Tamandua tetradactyla: one gene and its partners. The main gene of each other region encodes a partner of the protein of the gene in region 2 in a complex. Links are inferred from orthologs where the notes say so. Each region holds a gene or a part of one and is shown on either strand. Other genes may lie near its edges.

Region 1 (7,215 bases), on a different chromosome or scaffold from region 2:
ACCACGTGGCTCCTGCCAGTGTTTCCCTTCTGGGAAACGTGCAGCAAGTCGACATACTTCAGAGGGTTTCTGCACCTGAGCTTCAACCCAGAACGGGTCTTGCACACAAGAGGCTCTCAGGTTCCACCTGGGAATCAAAGGGAGAGCTGGGCACAGCCAGACCTATGTCCCCCTCCCACGCGAACCCATGCAGGGCCTCTAGGGAAGGGTGCGGGTGCCACCTCGTGGCTGGCGCGGGAGACGACATCCGCCTTGGGGCGTCGGGCCTCCCGGCACCGGGGTCTCAGTTTCCTGGCCCGCAGGCCGCCCCCTGCGCTTCGTCCAGCGAACCGCGCCTTTATCGGTGGCCTCCCGAACCCGTGCCACCGGGCTCACGGCCTCTGCATACAGTGGAGCTCCATGGAGGCTGACCGGATGCCGGACGGAATGACTTTATTGCTCGCAGCCCCAGCCCCCCGCGACCCCCGCACAGGGGACCCTCAGGGGGCCTCGGTCTCGGCCTCGGTCTCCGCGTCGGCCTCGACATTGGCCTCGGCCTCGGCCTTGGCCTGGGCCATGACGCCGTCGATCCAGTCCGCGTAGCTCGCCACGCGCGTGTAGATCCCGGGCTTCTTGCGATTGCCGCAGACGCGCGAGCCCGAGGTGACCACGCCTTCGGCCACGCCTCCGCACACCAGCGGGCCCCCGGAGTCGCCCTGCGGGGTAGGGGGCCGTGAGGGGCGCAAACCCCGCCCGCGACCCTCCCCACCGTAGCCCCCTGGGTCCACCTGGTTCTCCGCCAGCCTATCGCCCGGGTCCCGCCCACTGGACCAGGCCCCGCCCCTCTGACCCTAAGTCCGCCTCTAGCCCCGCCCCTTCCGGGCCCACCTGGGCCTCTGTCCCAGCGTCTGCTCCGGGATCCCAGCCGCCTGAGTCTCTGCTGTTCGGTGAGCCCCGACCTATCCTCGCCCCTAGCGCCCAGGTCTGGCCCCGCCCTCACCTCTTGGCTCCGCCCCAGCCAGTCCCCGCCCCGCCCCGCCCACCGGCCCGCACCTTGCAGCTGTCGTGGCGGTCGCTCCGCGCGCACATCATGCGCGGGGTGATAATGCCGTCGTGGAACGTGCGCTTGTTGCAGGTGTCGCGGTCGAGCACAGGCACGAGCACGTGGTACAGGCGGTCGGGCCGCCGGCCCGTGTGGCTGATCACGCCCCAGCCCGCCACGTCGCAGAGCGTGTCCCCCGCCACGTCGCGGTCCTCGCGCTGCCAGGGCAGGAGGCGCACGGCGGGACCCAGCGCGGCCTTCTCAGAGAGCTGGGGGGCGGGAGGCGGCAGTCACGGCGGGCGTGGGGGACGGCAGCACGACGGACTGCGGCTGCACTCGGTGACACGGGGTGGGGGGGCGCGGGCGTGCGCCCGAGCTGGGGGGTTGGGGGGGTTGCAGCAGGAGGGACTGCGGCTAGAGTTGGAGGACCCAGGGGTGGGAGCAGGTGCGGCAGGAGGGACGGCGCGTGGACTCTGACCTGCAGCAGGAGCAGGTCGTGGTCGATGGTGTCACGCCGGCTGTCGGGGTGGGGCACGGCGCGGCTCACGTTGTACAGCCGCTTGGAGGGCTCGGGCTGCGACAGGGAGTGAGCGCCCAGAAGCACCTGCACCTCCTGGCCGGCGCTGGGGGCGGGACGAGCCTGGGGTCAGAGTGGCGCCCCCCACCCCCACCCCTGGCGCCCGCGGCGCTCCCTCCCTGTTCCCACGGTCCCGGGCCACTCACGCATCCTCCAGGCAGTGCGCCGCGCTCAGCACCCACTTCTCGGCCACCAGGAACCCACCGCACACGTGCGAGCCGTTGACCTGCACCGATGCCATGTAGGGCCGCGCGTGGGCCTTGGACTCACTGCCCCTGAGGATGCGGCCGCGGGGCTGCGCCGCTGTGGGGGAGGTCGGCGGACGTCAGGACCGCGGGGAGGACAGGACCCCGGGGGGCTGCACCCCCACTCCCACCCTTGCAATGCTCCAGGCCCTCCCAGACCTGAGATTCCATCATTGGGATTTTCCCTCTCAGGGTTGCAGACTCAAATGCCCTGGGGCTGGGCAGGAAGACAGAGAAGACAAAAACCAGGGTAGTGGGAGCACTTGGGCAAATCAAATCGAGCAACACAGCCACTGCACAAACCCAAGGAGCTGGCCAGCCTGGCCCGGGCTTTGGCTGTAGAATTGCAGGGTTGGCTGCCAGGAACTCGGCACCTGGAAGGCTCAAATGCCACAATTCCTTGGCTTTCTCTTCAGGTGGCCTGTGCTCCACCCCTGGCTCCTGCCTGTTCGTTGAGGTTGGGGGATTATCCTGCTTGGGGTTGGGGGGGCCCTCGCGACACCCCTCCAGGCCGGTAGCCCCTACCCTCTCCCAGGCCCACTCACCACACACAGCCACTCCCATGAGAGTCAGCAGCGCTGGATGCATCCAGCCGGCAGCCATGGTGCCGCAGGGATCTCTGGACCCGGGCACCGCTTGGAGGGGTTTTTATGAGGGTGGAGGGGGCGGGCGGCTCCCATGGGTCCCATCTGCCAGTGGGCCGGGACCCAGATAGGGAAAGAGGAACGAACCAGCCCCACCTTTGCCCCCCCAGGGGGCGGGGGGAGCAGTGTTATCTCCTGGGGGGTGGGGTGCAGCACTCTCTCCCCGGGGTGAGGGGGGGCAGCATTATCTCCTGGGAATGGGGGTCCCTCCGGCCTCTGTGAGCCTGGCCAGGGCTGATCCTGGTGTGTGGGGAGGGGCATGGAGGAGGGCTGGACTCACCTCCTAGCCCCCAAGGCCCCTGCCCCATCTCCCCGACCCCAGAATACCCTTCTAGCCCCGAAATTTCACAATAGCAGCTGGAGGCCGTAGTTTGTAAACAACCCGTTTCCTCATTTCTCTGCCCCTCCCTTCTTTCTCTTCCTTCTCCAACTTGGAAAGGAGGTTGGGTGGGGGTTGGGGAGCGTCACCCAACACCTTGCCCTCTTCCCTGTGATCTCCAAGTCCTGAGGCCCCAACAAGTAGAATGTCAGAACAAGTAGAATGTCAGAATAAGTAGAATGTTGTGGCAGGGTGGGGGTGGGGGGGAAAGACTGCATACAAAAGCGATGGAAAAACCAAGTCAAACTGGATGAAGACTTCAACAAGGGAATGGAAATGGAAAATGACTGCCTTCAGGTGCAGCTTGATCCAGACACTCCAGCAATGTCAGGCTTCTTTCCTCCTTGATGGCTTCCCTCCTCACTGGGCTCCCCTTTTGTGGCCCCCCCCCCAAAGTGAAGGCCTCATTCCCCAGCACTCCAGCCAAAATCTCAGGCTGCCTCTGGTTGGTCAAGCCCAGGTGGCATGTCCCCACTCAAAACGGTCCCCAAGGACAGGAGATGGCAGGTTCTAATCGGCCACGCCTGGGTCCCACGGTCCTTGGTATGGGGAGATGTTGGACCAAGGTCCCCCAAACTGATGGGGGCAGAGGTGCTTGTGGGGGAAACCTCAGAGATCCCCACCGGAGACAGCCACATAATATTTTTCCCACTGCTTCTTTTCTCTTCACGGGAGACCATTTCACACATGCAGAAAATAATTGAGCAAATGAGATTGTTAGAGCCCACCGTGCTTCCTTCTTGAAGTCAGAAATGCTGAACGAAAGTGTTTTTTTGGGAGGGGGTGGAGTCCAGATTATGTGTCAATATGGTTCAAGGTTGCAACAAAAATTGGAAACAACCCCCAGGCCCAGTAAGAAGGGAGCAATTCAGTAAATAACCCTGAACTTCCCCAGATGTGGTTTTTTTAAAAAATTTATTTATTAATTTAGAAAAATTTAACAAACAAAATGTAACGTTAACATAGATAATCAGCAATTCACAATATCATTACTTAGTTGCATATTCATAATTTCTTAGAACATTTACATCCATTCAGAAAAAGAAATAAAACGAAGAAAAACAAAGAGTATACCTACCATACCCCTTACCCCTCGCTTTCACTGATCACTAACATTTCAAACTAAATTTATTTTAACATTTGTTCCCCCATTATTTATTTTTATTCTATATTTTCTACTCGTTTGTTGACAAGATAGATAAAAGGAGCATCAGACACAAGGTTTTCACAATCACACAGTCACATTGTGAAAGCTATATCATTGTTCAGTCATCATCAAGAAACATGGCTACTGGAACACAGCTCTACATTTTCAGGCAGTTCCTTCCAGCCTCTCCACTACATCTTAAACAACAAGGTGATATCTACTTAATGCATAAGAATAACCTCCAGGATAACCTCTCACTCTGTTTGGAATCTCTCAGCCATTGACATTTTGTCTCATTTCACTCTTCTCCCTTTTGGTCGAGAAGGTCGCAGATGTGGTTTTGACATGGAAAAGTCACTGGGGAGTCATATTAAATATAGAAAGCAATCAGTCGCAGGGCAGCTGGCACCTGGGCAGAGATGTGACAAAGGGATGAAAGCATGGGCAAAGGCCCTGGGGCCAGGGGTGGGCTGGCTGGCAAGTTCTTGCAGGAGAGGACTTGGGGCCGGGAAACAGGAGGGGAGGGGGTGCAGAGGAGCTGGCTTGTGGTTGCCGACCTCAGCTCCCTCATTTATTTGCTTGTTTGGGTGCTTGACTTCTCCCCCAATTGACTGTGAGCCAGTGGATGGCAGAGGCTGCCTCTGTTGCGGTCCCCACCCATGGCCCTGAGAGGGGTCCTTCCTGGGCTTCAGGGAGGTAGACAGACGGCTGTGACCTGAGATGTGAACCCCTGGCCAGGCCCTTCCCGGCCTGTGTCTCACTCCTTCCCCTCCAGGAAACAGGCAGCAGCAGCTTGCCTGAAGACTCAATCCCAGATGGGACTCGACCCCAGGTCTGGGGAACCCAAACCCTGGCATCCAACCAGGACTTTCCACCCCTCTGAAACTCTCTTTCCTCTCCTGTCCTGCTAGGACCTGCCTCGAGGTTGGAGAGGGTTGTATGAGCGAACACTTGTACCCTGCAAGCACTCCAGTAAACTGGAGCTGGTCACCGTCTGGGACGCTAATTTAATTGTGTGAAGGTGGATTGTGTAGGAAGGAAAAAAGGATGTCTGGCCCTCTTTTGTGGCCGGTGGGGAAGGGACCCGCTTCTTGTGTCAGTGCCCTGACTTTGCCACCACCTGGTGGCAGCGTACTTAAGAAATGCTCAAGACACCCACCTGACTGTTTTCACCCAACAGGTACGCAGCCAACAAATTCCCAGACACGTTCTACAAAACAAAGGAATTTTATTGTGCCAGTCACTAGATAAGCAGCCATGTGCAGGTGGAGTGGGGTGATGGGACAGCGCCTCCTAGCGGGTCCTGCTTGCCAGGCCCCTGGGCTAGGAAAGAGGGTGGACATCATAGCGGCGGATGATGGAGTTGATCCAGTCTGAAAACTGCGCCACCGGAGCAAAGGCATCTGGGTAGAAGCCAGAGGCACAGCTTCCACGGATGAAGGAGTCGATGCCAAAAACCAGCCCGTTGCAGACAAGCGGACCACCGGAGTCCCCCTGTGGAGGCAGACGGGCAGAAGTTTGAGTTTCAAGGCCTCTAGCCCACCCGTCTCCCGCTGGGGTGGAAGAAGTCCTTTCTGGTGTCTAGCTGCAGTCCCTCTTGCTGCAGCCCAGGCCAGGAACAAGATGGTGGGAGCAAGGGGAGGGGGCTACGTACGAAGCAGATGCCGGCCCGCCGGCGCCGCACGAGCGTGCACACGTTGGAGGCAGGGCAGAGGGAGGTCACCACCGTCACGTTGAGCTCTTGCAGGACACTGGGTGGGGGGTTGTTCGTGCCCAGGCGGCCCCAGCCCATGGCCAGGCAGCTCGTCCCGTCGCCCACACTCTGGCCCTGGGTGGGCAGCTGGGCCGTCCGCACGTTGGCATTGGTGGTGGCCGTCCCGTTGAGCTGTGGCAGGTGGGCAGAGCATCGGGGGTCACAGCGGGTGGCAGGTAGAGACCCTCCCTGCCCCAGGCCTCAGTTTCCCCCTCGGAGGCTCTGACCAGAAGTTGGCTTTGGGGATCTCATGGAGCAGGGCACCCACCCTGAGCCTCAGTTTCCCCCTCTATAAAGTGGGAGCAATCACACTAGCTGGGGGCACAATTAGGGGCATCCGGGACGTGGTCCATACACAGTGAACAGTAGCTGCACAATAAAGCAAACTGTGGGCAATGTGATTGTTGCCAAAACCCTTGTTTTAGAACTTTCCCATTTTGCAAGCTGGGGTGTGATATTCTCCCTCGAGTCTCCTGCCTGCCCCAAGTTGGGGGGACCTTGCTCCATTTCTCAGAGACAGGGTCTGTCCCTGCCTGTGGGTCACATAAGTGGATGGTATTGCTATTATTTATCAATAAGAAGAGCTGCCTCTGTTTGTTGATCAACAACTGCTTAGAGTACTGCAGTATCATCTTCCAAAATCCCCCCACCAGCCTAGGAGGTGGAGACTGAGGCAGAGAGGGGGTGTCCTGCCGGCTTAGAGCCCAGGTATGGCCCCAGGACCCTACATCCCAGCCCCAATGTGCCTCCCAGTCTCCCCCTTTCTGCCTAGTCCCACCCCTGACCTCAGGGCCTTTGCACATGCTGCCTCCGCCAGCCCATCCAGCCTCACACCTGGAGGATGACGATGTCATTCTGCAGTCTCCTGGGGTCAAAGCCATTTTCAAAGATCCGCTGGACTGAGAAGGTCTGTCGGGTGGGCTCCCGCTGCTGCAGGTCATGTGCCCCCAGTACCACCTGCACCCTCCGGAAGTTTCTGCAGCAAGCCGGGGCCAGGGGAGACAGTGACACAGGTTGGCCTGACTCGGCCCCTACCCTCCCTGTCCCTCTACAGAGCTGGGAACCCCAGCAGAGGCCACCCATCCCGCCCGCATGCCTATGGGGAGCAGGGAAGGTGCACGGACAGGGTCGCTGGGGGGGTGGGCTGCAGGCCCAGGACGGGCCCCTTGGAGGAGCCCCGGGGCCTGCTGTGCAATGGGGTGACTCACTGGCCGTCCACGCAGTGTGCCGCCGACATGACAAAGCTCGGGGTGATCAGGGTGGCCCCGCAGAAGTGGCCACCCCGCTGCTGCAGAGACACCATGAAAGGCCACGCGTGGGGCCGGGCTGGCCGGCCCCCCACAATCTCCGAGGCCTGCGCCGGGCCTGGGGACCCACAGGGTGGGGCGGGCGGTGAACGTCTGCCGAGAAGCCCGGTCCGGCCACTCAGCCTGTTTAACCCCCCACCCG
Region 2 (7,849 bases):
CAGAGTCGAGAGGTTATCTTGGAGGTTATTCTTATGCACTATATAGATATCCCTTTTTAGTTCATGGTGTATGGAAGAAAAAAAATGAGAATACCCATATATGGGGGTTATCCTGAGAATTAAGAGAGAGAATGTAAATGAAGCTCCTGGCCTGATACTCCAGCACATGGAAAATTCCAATAAAACAGTATATTTTAAGACGCACATTGGAAGTGTAAAGGTTCAGGTTCCCAGGCTGGGTGCTTCTCCACACTCCCAGGGCTCTGGGGAACCTGACACCCACCCAAGTCAACGATTCTCGTCCCTTCTCGATCTAGGAAAGTCCAACATGGGTGGCTCACCCAAGCGGGCTGTTGATGATATCAAGGAGATTCTGAACATCAACCAGAAGAGAAACGACTACCTGGGTGAGCCTCGGCGCCCCCCACCATCCCCGGCACACCACTGCAGGTGGCACAAGGCCTCCTCCTGGGGTTCCAGCCTGGGATGTAGGCTGTGGCGCTCTGGATGGAAGTCCCTTAGGTCGTGGTGAAGTGTGCGGAGTCTGCAGCCAGATTGCCCAGGGTTTCAACCTCGGTTCCATCCTGATTGGCCATGGCCGTGGGCATCACCCCAGGAAGAAGGGGTCTAGATCCCTTGTGAGGGCCTTCCCTGACATCATGTCTTTTAGCAGCATGGCTTTGGCAGCGGCAGCCCCTAAAGGAACAACTCCTTGGGTTCAAACCAAACACAGATCACACTGAACTTTGACAAGAAAAGAATTTCAGAGAGAGATTCTCCAGGCAGGGAGGGCAGCTGGTGTTGAGCCCCTGAGTGTCACCTGCTCCTTGCATCCTCTCCTTTTCCATTCGCTGACCCCATCCTCCCTGCCCTTCCGGGACACACTGATTCCCCTTTAAAACTTTGGCTGGAGAAGGACATCATTCACATCCGCTCCCTTAGCACCATGGGATAAATGTTCCAGAATATCTTATTGAAAAGAAATGGGAGGGCTGGCCACAGTGGCTCAGCAGGCAGAATTCTCGCCTTCCATGCTGGAGACCAGGACTCGATTCCCGGTGCCTGCCTATGTTAAAAATATAAAAAAATTAAAAAATGGGAAATTTAAGGGTACTAGTCAAAGAAAACACCCTGGGCATGGTAATTGTCCAGCTCACACTGTCACTGCTTCTGACCACCTCTGCAGGATCCCTCCTTGGCTGAAGATTTCTCTCACAGTCCACCTGCATACTTATTCCCTACACTCAACACAGGGGCAAGTGTGGGCCATGATGGGGTGCTGAGGGTCGGAGAAGACAAGACTCCCGTGAGCCGCTTCAGGGCACCCATGTTCAGAGGCCGCTGTGGATGGTTGTGTGGGTCCCGGTTTTTCAGTGGGGAGGGACGGCTTTGGGCTGCTCTTCCAGATTATATGTTTGACAGAGGGAGATCGGATCCAAAGCTCTCTCTCCATGCTATGTGCATGTGTTCTTTTTCATTCACTCATTCGTTTACAAGTACTCACAGAGTGCTTCTCCTGGGCTTTCAGCTGTGAACAAAACAGATACAAATGCCTGCCTGCATGGGGCTGCTCTTCCAGAACAGGGCCAATAAACAAGATAAATAAGGAGACCAAACAGCACATTAAGTAGTGAGGCGTGCTAAGGTGTTTAAGAGCTGGTGGAGGGATGGAAGTGCCTGGTATCTGGGGCATTATGGTTTTAGACAAGGAGGCTGGGGAAGTCCTCACCAAGAAGGTGTCATTTAAGACTAAGCCCAAAGAAGCAAGAAAGGGAGGTGCGTGGAAGAGGAGGGAAGAGTAAAGCAAGTGGAGGCACTGGCGCAAAGGGCCTGAGGGTAGGATGAGGAACTGCGAGGGGACCTACGTGGCTGGAAAAGAGTGAAGGATGCCGTGGTAGGAAACAGGGTGGGACGGGGGTGGGAAAGGGGCGTCCAGCTCCTGTAAGCTTTGGAGGACACAGTGAGTTCCAAATGACAGCCTCCAGCCTCACGGGGTAGCCCCGCAGCCACACGATTCGGGTGCTTTCCCTCCTCCCCATCAGACATCTATGCCATTGGGGTGGGCAAGGTGGATGTGGACTGGAAAGAACTGAATGAGCTGGGGTCCAAGAAGGATGGAGAGAGGCACGCCTTCATCCTGCAGGACACAGAGGCTCTGCTCCATGTCTTTGAACATATGCTGGGTGAGTGAGCTTTGCCCTGGCGGGAGCGGGGCACGGGTAACGAGGCAGCCCCGGGCTCAGCCCCTCGCTTGGCTCCCTCCCTGTCTGCTCCTCACCCTCACAGATGTCTCCAAGCTCACAGACAACATCTGCGGGGTGGGGAACATGTCAGTCAATGCCTCCGACCAGGAAAGGACACCCTGGCATGTCACCATCAAGGCAAGACCAGGAAGGAAGGGTGGGGGTTGGGTCCCCAAGGTGAACTGGGCCAGGGGCCTGAGGATCACCCATTGTCCTGCAGCCCAAGGGCCAGGAGACCTGCCGGGGGGCCCTCATCTCGGACCAGTGGGTCCTGACGGCTGCCCACTGCTTCCGCAATGTCGAGGACATCTCCTTGTGGAGAGTTATTGTGGGTAAGGCAGGGTCGCACCAAGGCCCTCCACTCCGGGACCAGAGCTTCTGCCCTGTGTCTCCAGCCTCTGAGCCCTCCACAAGCTCTGGTCCAGTCTAATCTGCTGTGCCGTTTCCAGGGGATCCAAACTCCCAGTGGGGCAAAGACTTCCGGATTGAGGAGGTGGTGACTTCCCCGGGGTTCGACGTCTTTGCCAAGAAGAAGCAGGGGATCCTGGAGTTCTACGGCGACGATATCGCCCTGCTGAAGCTGGCTCAGAAAGTGAAGATGTCCACCCATGCCAGGTGCCGGGAGGGCACCTCGCGGGGAAGGCCGGTCTTGGGGAGCCCAGGAGAAGGGAGGTTGAGGGGCCAGCCTGCCTGCATGACCTGCACCCTTCTTCCCAGGCCCATCTGCCTTCCCTGCACAGAGGGAGCCAATCTGGCTCTGCGGAGACCCCAAGGCAGCACCTGTCGGGACCATGGTGAGCACGAGGCTTAGGGCGTGTGAAGAACTGGGGTCCCAGGCGTGGGGCGGACCTCCCAGGCCAGGAGTCTGGGTTCCGAGCAAAGGCACCAGCACCAGCACCCCCTTCTCCTCGGCTGCAGAGAGAAAACTTCTGGACACACTGAGTGTTCCTGCCCATTTTGTGGCCTTGAATGGGAGCGCACTGAACATTAACCTCAAATTGGGGTCGGAGGTGAGGGGTTGGGTCCGGGATGCTGTGGGGGACGGGATTCCCAGGACGTCCCTCTCCCTCCCCTGGCTTTGGTCGTTTTCTCGCTCTGAGCCGTCAGCCCTCCTCCCGGCTCAGCTCGCCCCAGGTGTCCCCTGGCTCTACCTGCTCCATCCCTCTCTCCTGCTCCACCCATACTGCAGAGGGAAGACTGCATCAAGGTGGTCTCCCAGCACAAAACCATGTTCCCCAACCTGACGTCTGTCGGAGATGTGGTGACAGACCAGTTCCTCTGCAGCGGGATGGGGAAGGATGACAATCCCTGCAGGGGTGAGCTCCCTTCTCCCCTCTAGACCTGGATTCATGTGGGGAAAGCCACCGGTGTCCTCGCGGCCAGCACGCACACCAGGAGACCCTGTGCTGCCTGCGATGACAGTGGAGCCGGGTGAGCGACGGGGTGACGCTGTCCCCTCTCCCTCCTTTCTGCAGGAGAATCTGGGGGAGCAGTTTTCCTTGAGCGAAAATATAGGTTTTTTCAGGTGAGAAGAAACGGGGCAAGTTCGCAGGACGGGGGTGGCTGGGTCTTAGGGGGATGCGGGAGGGCTTGTGCAGGAACCAGGGAGGTTGGGGCTCGGGACTGGGGCTGGGGCAGACCCTCGCCCTCTTCACTCCCTTCTTCCAGGTGGGCTTGGTGAGCTGGGGCCTCTACAGCCCCTGTGTCAGCGCCGACAAAAACTTCCGCCAGAGGGCTCCCCAAGGCATGGTCCCTCCACCACGAGACTTCCATATCAATCTCTTCCGCCTGCAGCCCTGGCTGAGGCAGCACCTTCAGGATGTCCTGAAGTTTTTGCCCCCCTAGACATGGCCACCGGCCCTTCTCCTGTCTTGTCGGGACCTGCCATCTCTTCCCACTCCTTTTTCTGACATCCCTACTCAGCCCTCTCTACCCACCCTTGCTCCTGGCTCTGAGTAAAGTTTGGCCTCCAGGATCGATCCCAGCAGGCAGCGGGCCATGCCAGGGCTGACTGCCCCAGATCCTCATTTCCATTTTCTCCAGCCAGTGTTCAAATCCCTTCCTCTGGTTTGTCTCACCTCTCCTTTCACTTTCACGTGGAATTTCCCAGTTATGAAATTAATAAAAGTTAATGATTTCCACATCCATCTGTGCCCCGGCCTGGGGTGGGGTGATGGTGCTGGGTTCAGTTGGCCTGGGGGCGGGACAAGAATGATTCCAGGAATCCCAGGAGGGCAGGTCAGAGCCCCTGCTGGGTAAACAGCTGCTGGACTCTGCCTCATCACACACAGTCCGCAGGGGAGTGAGGTCAGGGTCTTATTTGTGGTCCCTAACAGGGCAGCCTGGGTTTGTTGGAGAAGAGCTGGCAGGGTGTTGAGGGGGAGAGTCCTGGAATCTGAGCATCAAAAGGTGGGGTTCGTGCAGTTTCTATTTCCTTGGCTGGAAGCTCAGTGGAGCCCTCCCACTTGGACTTTCCGGAAAGTGATCTGTGTGGGGTGGGTGGGGCAAGCGAGCCACAGGTGCCAGACACAGATTGCATAAAGGCTTGGGGGCTGGTGGGAGCCAAGGAGAAGGAGTGTGACCAGGCCCAGGGCTGAAGTTTCCTCTTGGACACAGAGCCAGACACACAGCACAAGTCAGGATAATAGACCATCTTGCTTCCCCTCTCCCCCTATCGCCACCTTCTCTCCTGTCTTCCATGGCCATGGGGAGGAATCTCAACCTCCCACTCTGCCTGCTTCCTTTGGTCCTGGGCTTCTTGTCCGCAGGTAAGTGAGGATCAGCTCCCCTCTCCTGCTGCCTAACATCCCTCTTCAGCCTCATGGGGCCAGGCTTAATCAGCCGTTCTCTTTAGGTGTGTGCACAACTCCACTGCCTAAGGACAAGCTCCAAAGCCCCTGCTCTCTGGAGGGGGTAGAGATCACAGGTGGCTCCTTCCGCCTTCTCCAGGAGGGCCAGGCACTGGAGTATGTGTGTCCCTCTGGCTTCTACCCATACCCTGTGCAGACTCGCATCTGCAGACCCTGGGGGTCCTGGAGTACCCTGCAAACCAAAGACCGAAAAGTTGTCAAGAAGGCAGAGTGCAAAGGTTGGGGGGCAGTGAGGGTGGGGGTGGGTCAAGGGAGGGATGGAGTAGGTGGTGGCAAAGGTTGGGACTTATATGTCCTACATTGAGAGCAGGTCGCTGAGAGGGAGTAGGAGCAGCTCTAGGGTCTGAGGTGGGGAGGAGGGAGGAGAAAGGAGCGCTTACCCTGTACCAGGGAGCCCTCACAGTTAAAAGAACACTCAGACATGGGGATGAAGGAGCAGCTGGGTGCCCCATGGGTTGAAAGGTAAAGGGGAGTAGACGCTGTTTTTGTGGGACTGGGACAGTGCTGTTTGTCAGTACAGGGACCTGAGATCAGGAGAGAGACCCTGAAGGACAGTGCTTCTCTTTTAGTGATTTCCACTTTTCTCTCTACCTAAAGAAATTCGCTGCCAAAGACCACAGGACTTTGAGAATGGGGAATATTGGCCCCGGGCCCCCTACTACAATTTGAGTGATGAGATCTCTTTCCATTGCTATGACGGTTATACTCTCCGGGGCTCTGCCAATCGCACCTGTCAAGCAACTGGCCGGTGGGATGGGCAAACAGCCATTTGTGATGATGGAGGTGAGAAGGGTTTTCTCCTGCCACATTACTCTCTCCTTGTTGACCAACCTGCCTGAGGAACTAGCACCAAAACTCTTGTTCTCTGCCTTGCCCTTTGGCCACAGGCTTTGGTTCTCACCTCCTTGTCTTGTGCCTCTGCAGCGGGGTACTGCCCCAACCCGGGCATTCCCATTGGCACAAGGAAGGTGGGCAGACAGTACCGCCTTGAAGATAGCGTCTACTACCACTGCAGCCGGGGACTCACCCTGCGTGGTTCTCAGCAGCGAAAGTGCCTGGAAGGTGGCTCCTGGAGTGGGACAGAGCCTTCTTGTCAAGGTGACCCTTGAACTATGACCCCCGACAGATTCTGCCCTCCATCCTAATGTCTCCATACCAAGGCACCATCTTCTCCTAGCTCAACCCAGCTTCCCCCTCATTTCTTCCAAACATCCCAGTAGAGCTTTTCTCACTTCTGAGAGTTTCCCACCCTGGAAAACCACAATCTGTCTCTTTGGTCACTGAGTCCTTAAACCCTCTCAGACATCTGACCTGATTTTTTACTACTCCTCAGATTCCTTTATGTACGATACCCCTCAAGAGGTGGCGGAAGCCTTCCTGTCTTCCCTGACAGAGACCATAGAAGGAGCCGATGCTGAAGATGGGCACAGCCCAGGTTTGAAGACAGAGAAGAGAGGCAGGGTTGAGAATTGGGGGAGGAGGGAGAAGGAGGACAGGACATGCTGGAGCCTGAGTCTCTCTGGTGACACCTAGGAGAACAACAGAAGCGGAAGATTATCCTGGACCCCTCAGGCTCCATGAACATCTACCTGGTGCTGGACGGATCAGACAGCATTGGAGCTAGCAACTTCACAGGGGCCAAGAGGTGTCTCACCAGCCTCATTGAGAAGGTGGACCTCCCTGCCCCCTAAACGTGGTGACCCTGAACACACCTCACTGCTTTCCAGGGCCAGTTCCCTGGTACCCACAAGACCCTAGAAAATTTCCAAGTTCTCTTCTGTCCTCCTTTACCTACTTGAAACATTTCCCTGACTTTACCACAGACTCTTCTGTGAACCTCAGGGTGACTAGCCAGCCCTTGAACCTCTTGCTCTACGATCTTCATCCCAGCAAAATTGCTGACTTCTCCCAACCACAGCATTTTCATTTCAATGCCTGTGACCCTTTGCAGGTGGCGAGTTATGGGGTGAAGCCAAGATACGGTTTAGTGACATATGCCACAGACCCCAATGTTTTGATTAGAGTGTCTGAAGCAAGGAGCAGTGATGCAGACTGGGTCACGGAGCGGATCAACCAAATCAGTTATGAAGGTCAGAGATTAGGTTAGGCAAGACAATGACAGGAGGTTCATCTGGGGATCAGAGAGGTCAGAAGGTTGAGGGGCGTTGTAGGGAGGGGCTATGGAGAACCACTTTTAGTAAAAGGGAGGACAGTAGGGTCATTGGACGATGGAGGTTAATGGGAACCTGTTGGGCTGGGAGGACCACTTTGTAGTAAAAGTGAAGTCAATGGGTTAACAGCTAAGTCACAGTGGAAAAATGTGGGATCCCAGGGATTGAAAGGCTTCTGGGTCTCAAAAGTGGCTTTGAAGACTAGGTGAGATGGTGGCCTCTTCCCTCTCCACAGACCACAAGTTGAAGACAGGGACCAATACCAAGAAGGCCCTCCAAGCAGTCTACAGCATGATGAACTGGATAGGGGATAAACCCCCTGAAGGCTGGAACCACACCCGCCATGTCATCATCCTAATGACTGATGGTCAGAAGGGATCTCTCTCCTGTCCCATATTACCCCCCCTTAACTCCAGCATGTGGGCCTTAAAGCCCACATGTAACACTGGACTCATGGTTGGGAAACTGAATGCTACTCATAGCTGACTGTTTGAGTTCTCCTGTGTCAAGGAGCTCTTTGTGATCTATCACTTCTATCCCCTGCCCAATCCACTCACTCAACCAT
Region 3 (7,695 bases), on a different chromosome or scaffold from region 2:
GCTGATCCAGGATCAGGCCCAGGCCGCAGGTCACAGAGCAGGTGCTGATATGGCTCCATGGCCCCCAGCCCCCAGCCACTGTTGGGGAATAAGAGAGTAAGGAGAGAGTCCACCATCCTGTAGGTAGACTGCCCCCAAATGAAGAGCTATGGAGTCACATTATTTGGGACTTTTAGCTCCTGCAACTGGCAGAAAATCTGTGCATGGAATCAAGAGCTCTGTTGGCAGAGTGTCAAAGTCCTCATGTCTACATACCTGGACAGGGTGGCAGGTTGGTGCAGCCCTGCTGCTCGTAAGCTAGCCCTGGGCAGGGCTTCCCGGGAGGCACTGTAGAGGGCTCAGGTGCAGTACAGGTGCGGCTTCTTTTCTCCACAGGTGCGTGAGGTCCACCATGGCAGGAGCCTGAGCAGGGGCCCCATGGGCCCCAGGCAGCCCAGGCCCCATGTGCTGTAGTGGGATGGGGGTGGGGAAATGCCAGGTGTGGCCATGCATGCTGAGGTCCTTCTACCCTGGCATTCCCTGCTGTAGCCCCACACATCCACCCTAGGTGCCCCCATTAGTGCCCTGCGGCTGCCCTCACTCACTGGGGCAGACTTTCTGGGTGTCGCAGGCCTCTAAGTTGCGTGCTTCTCCTGGGCAGCTGCCCCCACACTTGGGAGCAGGGTTGTCACAGGCTCGCTGGCGGGCCCGGGTCCCTTTGGCGCAGGTGACAGAGCAGGAGCTCCAGGGACCCCAGTTGGACCAGCCTCCCATCTCTGTAGGGGAGAAGAAAGGAGGATAGGATGGAGGTGGGGGCATCATTCAGGGCTTCCTGCCTCCTCATGTACCCCACATCTGGTCTGTCTGCCAATCTGTCCCTGCATTCTCTGGTACCACACCTAGTTCTCTGTCATGGTCAGGCTGGGTTATCGTGGTAAGCTTCATGCTGACCCCTCCTTTATAGCTCAAGTCAGATCATGTCTCTCCTGCCCACAACCCCAATCACTGAGTGAAAGCTAAAATCCTCTCCTCACTATGGCCCATGAAGTCCTATACAATCAGGCCCTGTCACTTCTCTGACTTCCCCTCCCATCACTCTCCCCTTCACTGGCTCTCCTCCAGCCACACTGGCCTCCCCGACTGCTCCTTGCGAACATCAGGCATGATCCCACCGTCAGGGCCTCACTAATGGAGAGTGCTTGCCCGCCTCACTGCTCCTCCTCACCAGGACAGCATGCCTGGTCCTCACATGCCTGCAGCTGCCACTCGAGGGTTCCAGGCTCTTCCTTCTCAGAGCACTGCCCTCCCTGGCCCACGCAGCGCCGGTGCCGCAGCTGGGAGCCCTCGGAGCAGGTCACTGAGCAGGGGGCCCACACAGACCACTGTGACCATCGTGGGCTACTGCAAAGAGGAGCACAGGTGTTCCATTCTGGCTGTGTCTGGTACCATTGAAGTGGCAGGAATGGCGTGTGGCACATGGGGGATGCTGTATATATGTGTGTGGAATAGATTGATAGGAGCACCTACCTCTTAGGAATGTTGGAAGACTGAGAAGAGGTGCGCACACAGTAAGTGCTTAATAAATGTTATTTATCTTCATGTCTAGGGACCTGGAGCCACCCTTGGAAGTCCCCCAAGTACAGTGCCAGGCACACAGTAAGCAAATGTAGGGAATATGGGCCCAGAACTGCTGTCAGAAACCCGTCAGGCCACCACCCTGCATGGGAATAGGCAAATAGTAAGTGCTTAATAATAAGAGCCATCATCCTGATAAGGGGCTCAGGCGCCCCCCCCACCTCAGAAATACCCCAAGACCTACTCCCAGCCTTCTGCACAGCACTGAGCAGGTTGTTAGTAATAATTAATAGTGAAGTGCTGACATGTCTAGGGGCCCAGAACTGCCCTCAAAAATCCTCACAATATGTCTGGTATATACAGTAAGCATTTAGAAAAAACATCTGGTATACAGTAAGGGCTCAATAAATGTAAGCTGGCATCTTGATTGGAAGACTAGAGCTACCCTCAGGTTGCCCTCCCACATCGACAATGCATCTGGTATGCCAAAAGTGCTTAATGAATATCACATGTCATCCTACTTAAGAGCCAGGAGCTGCCCTCTGAACTCCCCAGACTCTTTCACCTCCACAATGTATCCATATACAATAAGCATGCAATAAATAAGAGCTGTTATCACAATTAGGGGACTAGGGATACCTTTGGCCCCACCTGCCTCACCCCACCCTGCTTCTAGTATGTAGGAAGGGCTCAGTATGTGTGAGCTACGGTGGCAGTTCTCAACCTGGGGTGGTTTTGTCCCACAGGAGACATTCAGCAATGTCTGAAGACATTTTTGGTCATCACAATTTTGGGAGAGTGTGTGTGTGCTGCTACTGGCGTCTATTGGGTAGAGGCCAGAGATGCTAATAAACATCCTACAATGCACGGGGCAAAGAATTTTCTGGCCCCAAATGTCGCTAGTGCCAAAATTGAGAAATCCTGAGCTGTGGTCATAGTCAGGGCCTCAGAATGACCCTTGAAAATCCCAGAGAAGGAAAGAGCTCAGCCCTGGGTCATCCTGCAGACAGCTCTTTCTACCTACCCCTTGCCACCACCCCCAAACCTCCCCCACCAATGCTCTGTTCCAGGTTCCCCCTTACCTGCAAGCTTGACAGGGCCCACCTCCTGGCTCCTGGAAGGCGTAGGCAGCATTGAGGCAGCAGTCTTTGGTACTGACACCTCCCCCCAGGAGGCCCTTGCACTTGGCCGAGGATTCCTCATACTGGGTGAAGCAGAAAACCGGGTCTGAGCCTGTGATGAGGCCAGGTGGGAAGGTACAGTCAGGGGTGTGAAGAGCCTAGGCACCCCTGGGGGCCAGCGAGGCCTTTCCCCACTTACCTGTGGTGGGCAGGGTGAACAGCAACAGTGGTAATGGCAGCAGCAGCAGCAACCGAGAGGTCTGTGTTTGAACGGTCATGCTGAGCACTGTGCCACCACCAGAGAGGAAGCCTGGCTTTATCTGCTCTGCCCTGCCTCCTGGAGTCAGCAGGGAAAGAGGAACCAGGCTGCAGGAGGAACTGGGAGGGCACTGGGGCAGATGGGGGTGGGGTGGGGCACGGAGGAGGGTGCTGTGCAGGTATCTGCTGCCCTGACCTTGCCTTTGTCCCATCTATGTCCTCGCCCTGTTTCCTCTCTCACTTAGTCCTGTTTTGTTTGTCGTCGCATCCCCAGTACCTAGCAGTCTGCCTAGCAACCTTTGAGTGCTCCCATCAGTGCTCTTTAGGCAAATTCTCACTTAGGGGAAATGGAGCACAGTATGGAACAAGACAAACTTCCTAGCTGTGTAGCCTTGAGCAAGTCACTTAAACCACTTTGCGTCTCAGTTTCCCTATCCGTAAGACACATAATCTATACCATAATAACATAACCACGAAGTTGTTGAACAAGGATGAAATGAGTGTGAAGTGCTTACAGGGTGGAGGGGACATTGGGGTAATTGCTTCATCCTCTATCCTGACTTAACCTCAGCCATGGTCTTTCAGGAAAATGAGGTTCCCTGCAGTCAGCATAGTGGAGAGGTCAGCACAAGGGAAGTGAGAAGGGGAAGTGATAGGGGTGTGGGAAGAGGGATGCAGAAGCAGCCAATAGGGTTGTCTGCTGCCTTGGGGGCCCAGTTGGGGACACTTGCATGGTCTGTGGAGTGAGTAGTTAGGAAAGAACTGGCTCTGCCATGTTCCAACTCTGCCTTCCTTGAGCCTCAGTTTCCTCCTCTGTAAAATGAGGATGTATATTGTAGAGTTTGTGGCAAGGATTGGGAGTTAAGATTTTTAAGTGTTTAGAACAGTGCCTGGCATATAGTACGTGTTCTGATTGTTAGACAAATTCACTCAACAGTCATTTGTTGAGTACCTGTTAGGTGCCAGATGCTGTTCTAGGCATTGGGCAGTGCAGAGAACAAAACAGACAAAAACAAACAAACAAACAAAAAAAACCCTGGCCCTCAAGCTTACATTCTAAAGGAGGAGACAGATAATAAATGTCACCTCTCTGAGGGCTTCCCATCTACCCTCTAGTGTGGCACCCTTGTCACTTTCAAACCCAGTGGTTATCAAACATTAGTGTGCCTCACAATCATCTAGAAGGCTCATTGAAACACAGCTGAGCCCCATTCCAGAGTTTCTAATTCAGTCAGTCTGGACTGGGGCTTAAGAATGTGCATTTCTAACACATTTCCAGGTGTTGCTGGTGCTGCTGATTCAGGGCCCATATTTTGTGAACTACTGTTCTAGCCTCTGACCCCTCTCTTCTTTGTGGTTTCATCTATAGAAAACAACTCTACATGCTCCCTATTTTACTGTTAATAATTAATTCCTCCAATCCATTTTCCATGCAAGTAAAACTGAGTTCCACAGACCTGTTATTTATTTTTTTAATAAACTCTAATAAGTGAAACTCCAGAGCCTGCTTTAGAATGAGAATCTTTAACAAAAAGTTGTCTAAGAAAGACATGAAGGCAAGCTCTCATTTCCCCTACATTCATGGAGAAAGAAACACCATTCTGTAAATTAAAACGAGATAAAGGAATTTGATTTGGTCAGGTGTTAAAACACAACTTCCACAAGAATATCTGTGTTTTTTAATGGGCAATAAGGTGTGTGTTGATAATTGCATCTGTTACAGGTATACTTTGTTCTCTAATAATATAAGCCCATCTTTGAAACTGTGAATTGGACAAAGGGGTCTTGTTAGATTTGAAGAATTCAGACATCAGTGCTGTGTTACCCTGTGAAAATAAACTACCAGAGAAACCTGTAATTCTGGCTGGCTGCTTTATTTAATCACCTGCTGCCCTGGTAATAAAGTTATAATCAGTATTTCCTTTGTTCCTAAATGGCATAAATACAGGATTCTCTGTTGAAGAGGTTTGCTGGCACTTTCACCTTCTCCCACACGAGTTCAGGCAAAAAATCAATCTGCAGATTCCTTATTTAAAAAAACAGTGAGAGTCTTGTCTCATTTAATGACTGCCTCACTATCTATTATTTTATATTCATCTGTTTCTTGTCTGTCTCTGTTACTAAAATATCAGCTCCATGAGGGCAGGAATTTTTGTCTCGAATGTTAACTGCTGTGTCTGTAGGGCCTAGATCAGCACTGGCATGCAGGAGGTGTTCAATCACTGTCTGCTGCATGAACAAATAAAGGAAATAAGCAAATAGATCTTTAGAACTCCTGATAACTGCTAAGAGGAACAGTTTGGTGTAGAGACGAAAATGTGGGCACCATTTGGGGGGGGGGGTGTATATTGGATGAATTTACCTAAAGAGGGCTATTTTTTTGGTATGCTGTATGGCAGGGTCACATTTCATTCTTTTTCCATGTGAGTATCCCATTATTGTAGCACCATTTGTTGAATTTTTGTTTGTTTACTTGCTTATTTTTTAGTGGGGGGGAATGCATGGGCTGGGAATTGAACCTGGGTCTCCCGCATGGCAGGTGAGAATTCTACCACTGAACTACCCTTGTACCTCCTAGAGAGGGCTTTTGAGAAGAGAGAAGGGAACCTGAGGCAAAGCCCTGGGGAAGCCCCACATTTCAAGTTTTGGAGAACTGGGAGAAGCCAGAAGAGGAGGGGGCTGGGAAGGAAGAGGACAAACAAGAGGGTTTTTGCTAGATCTGGCAGATGCAATAAGTGGTTCTCTCATATAATGTCTCACACAGTCTCAGTAATTCATTCACTTTTTTTTTTTTTACATATATGGACACAGTTCTAGATTTATAGCCTCAACTGTAGTCTCTTACAAACTGGTTCACATGCATATTCAATCAGACAGGCTCTCAGATATTCCCTGTTACACAGGGAGTCATTTTCTTTGTCACAGATTCAGTCTTAGTACAGTCTCCCACTAAGAGTTTCACACACACAATCATAATATCTCATATCTTGTTTTATTCAAGCTCACCAACATTTTCTCACCAGTTTTTCACATACACGCAAACGGAGTCACATTGTCTCATTTGTTTTCTCAGTTACACAAATAGTTACTGATTTAGTTACTAGTCTCTCATGAAGTTTCTCATATAAGTGTACAAAATCGCCATCAGCATATCTCATACCCCTTAACTCAAGCCACTTTTTCTCACCCCCCACAGACCCTGATTATGTCCTCTACTAGTTTTCCATGAAGTTTCACGTGCACACACAATCAGTCATAGACACTGTTTCAGTCATCTAGTCTCCTATTTCTTCATCACCTTCCAATATACCCAGACCTTGATTTTACCACCTTTTATTCTAAAGTCCCTCGCGAAGAGTTTTACACATACCCACATGATCTGTTTCTCAGACTCTCAAACCCATTCAGTCTCATGATTACTTTCTCTCAGTCAGCTTCTGATGTATGTGGACACTGATTCAAAATCACTAGTAGTATCTCAGTAAGTTTCACATATATGACCAGTGTCTCATGCCGTTCTCATTCACATCATCATTTTCTTTATATAGTTGGCTTATTGTGTACACACACGCACAATTACAGTCTCATAAGCTGTTTCAACCACATTTAGTCCCATTTTCTTATACATGGTCACTAATTCAGTCTCTTTTAGAGTTCCATTGGCACATACAATCACAGTCCCTGACCTTACACTAAGTCTGACTCATTTTTCTCTCACATTTTTTTCTTATAACACAAATGCAATCCACAATTTATAGTCTCAGTGGCAGTCTCTCATCATTGGTCTCACATTCATCACAACCAGTCTCTCAGTCATTTTTTCCCTCGAAGTCATCTTCGCATATTTAGTATTTGATCTACAGTTAAGACTACAGCCTATCCCAATAGGTTCACACCCTCCCACAGAATCCCAGTCTTTGACACTGTTACCCATTCAGTCACAGGTCCATTTTCTATGTGTTGACTTCTACTGTACAGTCATTGATTTACAATTGCTATTATGGTATCTCACTAACAGTTTCATACACGACTATAAAAATTTTCTCTCACAGTCCGTTTCACCCCACCCACAGTAATAGTCTCCTAAGCTGTTTCAGCCATTCATTGAGTTCCAATCATTGTCTCAGTCTTCTACATACAGTTACTGATTTACAGTCAATAGTACAGCCTTTCATGAAGTTTCTCTTATACACTCAATGACATGGTCTCTCAGTGTCTCATTCACTCAGTTCCTGTCACTTTCTTGGTTTTTCAAATTCACAGCCCCTGATTTAGTCTCTTATGAAATGTTTCACATACCTACACAATCTGAGACACTGTCTCAACCACTAATTTTTACTCTCTCAGTTTCTCACAGTTACTGACTTCTGGTTGTCACTACTTGCAGTTTTTCTTGAACAGTTCCTCTTCTGTCTCACAGACACAATTATGTGGTCTCTCATACCTTAGTCAGTCTCATCATTATTTTCTCTCAAATTTTCTCATATATACAATCACCGGACCTGTTGGAACAGACTGTAAATCGATTTGCTTCTTGTCTCTTAGTTTCACATACAAACAAACACAATTAAAGTCTCTCATAGTCTCCAAGTTCTAACCATTTTTCTGTTTCTCACATATACAATCTTTACCATAGTCTCTCACGAGAAGTTTTCATAGACACAATCATACATTCTCATCTCTTGTGTCTCAGTCACCCATTTGGCTTCACAGTCATTTTTTCCTCATATCTCTCACACATCTACTCCCGTTACTTTAGATG

What was found.
Region 1: the proteins of CFB (region 2) and CFD are in contact, whole or in part, in a crystal structure (PDB 2XWB), measured with the Homo sapiens proteins. The link is inferred for Tamandua tetradactyla from reciprocal best matches to the Homo sapiens genes CFB and CFD. Residues at the interface, in NP_001701.2 of Homo sapiens: Glu298, Ala301, Ser302, Ala332, Asp333, Ile469, Asp470, Glu471, Ser472, Glu518, Tyr519, Lys585, Asp758, Glu759, Asp760; in NP_001919.2 of Homo sapiens: Asn157, His158, Ala159, Gly160, Arg161, Arg162, Arg182, Thr183, Asp186, Arg200, Val228, Cys229, Gly230, Asn231, Arg232, Lys233.
Region 3: the proteins of CFB (region 2) and CFP are in contact, whole or in part, in a crystal structure (PDB 7NOZ), measured with the Homo sapiens proteins. The link is inferred for Tamandua tetradactyla from reciprocal best matches to the Homo sapiens genes CFB and CFP. Residues at the interface, in NP_001701.2 of Homo sapiens: Glu54, Gln56, Ser78, Thr316, Tyr317, Leu349, Ser351, Met394; in NP_001138724.1 of Homo sapiens: Arg329, Arg330, Asn331, Lys333, Pro341, Met420, Val421.

Annotation. Positions count from the first base shown.
Region 1 is NC_135337.1:82,121,255-82,128,469, forward strand, and holds CFD (complement factor D), read right to left. Parts: upstream 3,005-7,215; 5' UTR 2,447-3,004; coding exon 2,389-2,446; intron 1,902-2,388; coding exon 1,745-1,901; intron 1,645-1,744; coding exon 1,500-1,644; intron 1,291-1,499; coding exon 1,033-1,290; intron 696-1,032; coding exon 480-695; 3' UTR 416-479; downstream 1-415.
Region 2 is NC_135331.1:87,502,314-87,510,162, forward strand, and holds the start of CFB (complement factor B), read left to right. Parts: upstream 1-4,753; 5' UTR 4,754-4,941; coding exon 4,942-5,011; intron 5,012-5,097; coding exon 5,098-5,331; intron 5,332-5,710; coding exon 5,711-5,896; intron 5,897-6,037; coding exon 6,038-6,211; intron 6,212-6,446; coding exon 6,447-6,548; intron 6,549-6,646; coding exon 6,647-6,783; intron 6,784-7,064; coding exon 7,065-7,203; intron 7,204-7,519; coding exon 7,520-7,651; intron 7,652-7,849. Other genes in the region: complement C2, read left to right, coding at 318-407, 2,043-2,183, 2,287-2,381, 2,464-2,575, 2,693-2,858, 2,961-3,037, 3,162-3,253, 3,433-3,559 and 2 more.
Region 3 is NC_135353.1:122,498,294-122,505,988, reverse strand, and holds the start of CFP (properdin), read right to left. Parts: upstream 3,023-7,695; 5' UTR 2,954-3,022; coding exon 2,875-2,953; intron 2,788-2,874; coding exon 2,637-2,787; intron 1,381-2,636; coding exon 1,205-1,380; intron 756-1,204; coding exon 585-755; intron 448-584; coding exon 256-447; intron 79-255; coding exon 1-78. UniProt on the Homo sapiens protein: A positive regulator of the alternate pathway (AP) of complement. It binds to and stabilizes the C3- and C5-convertase enzyme complexes. Inhibits CFI-CFH mediated degradation of Complement C3 beta chain (C3b).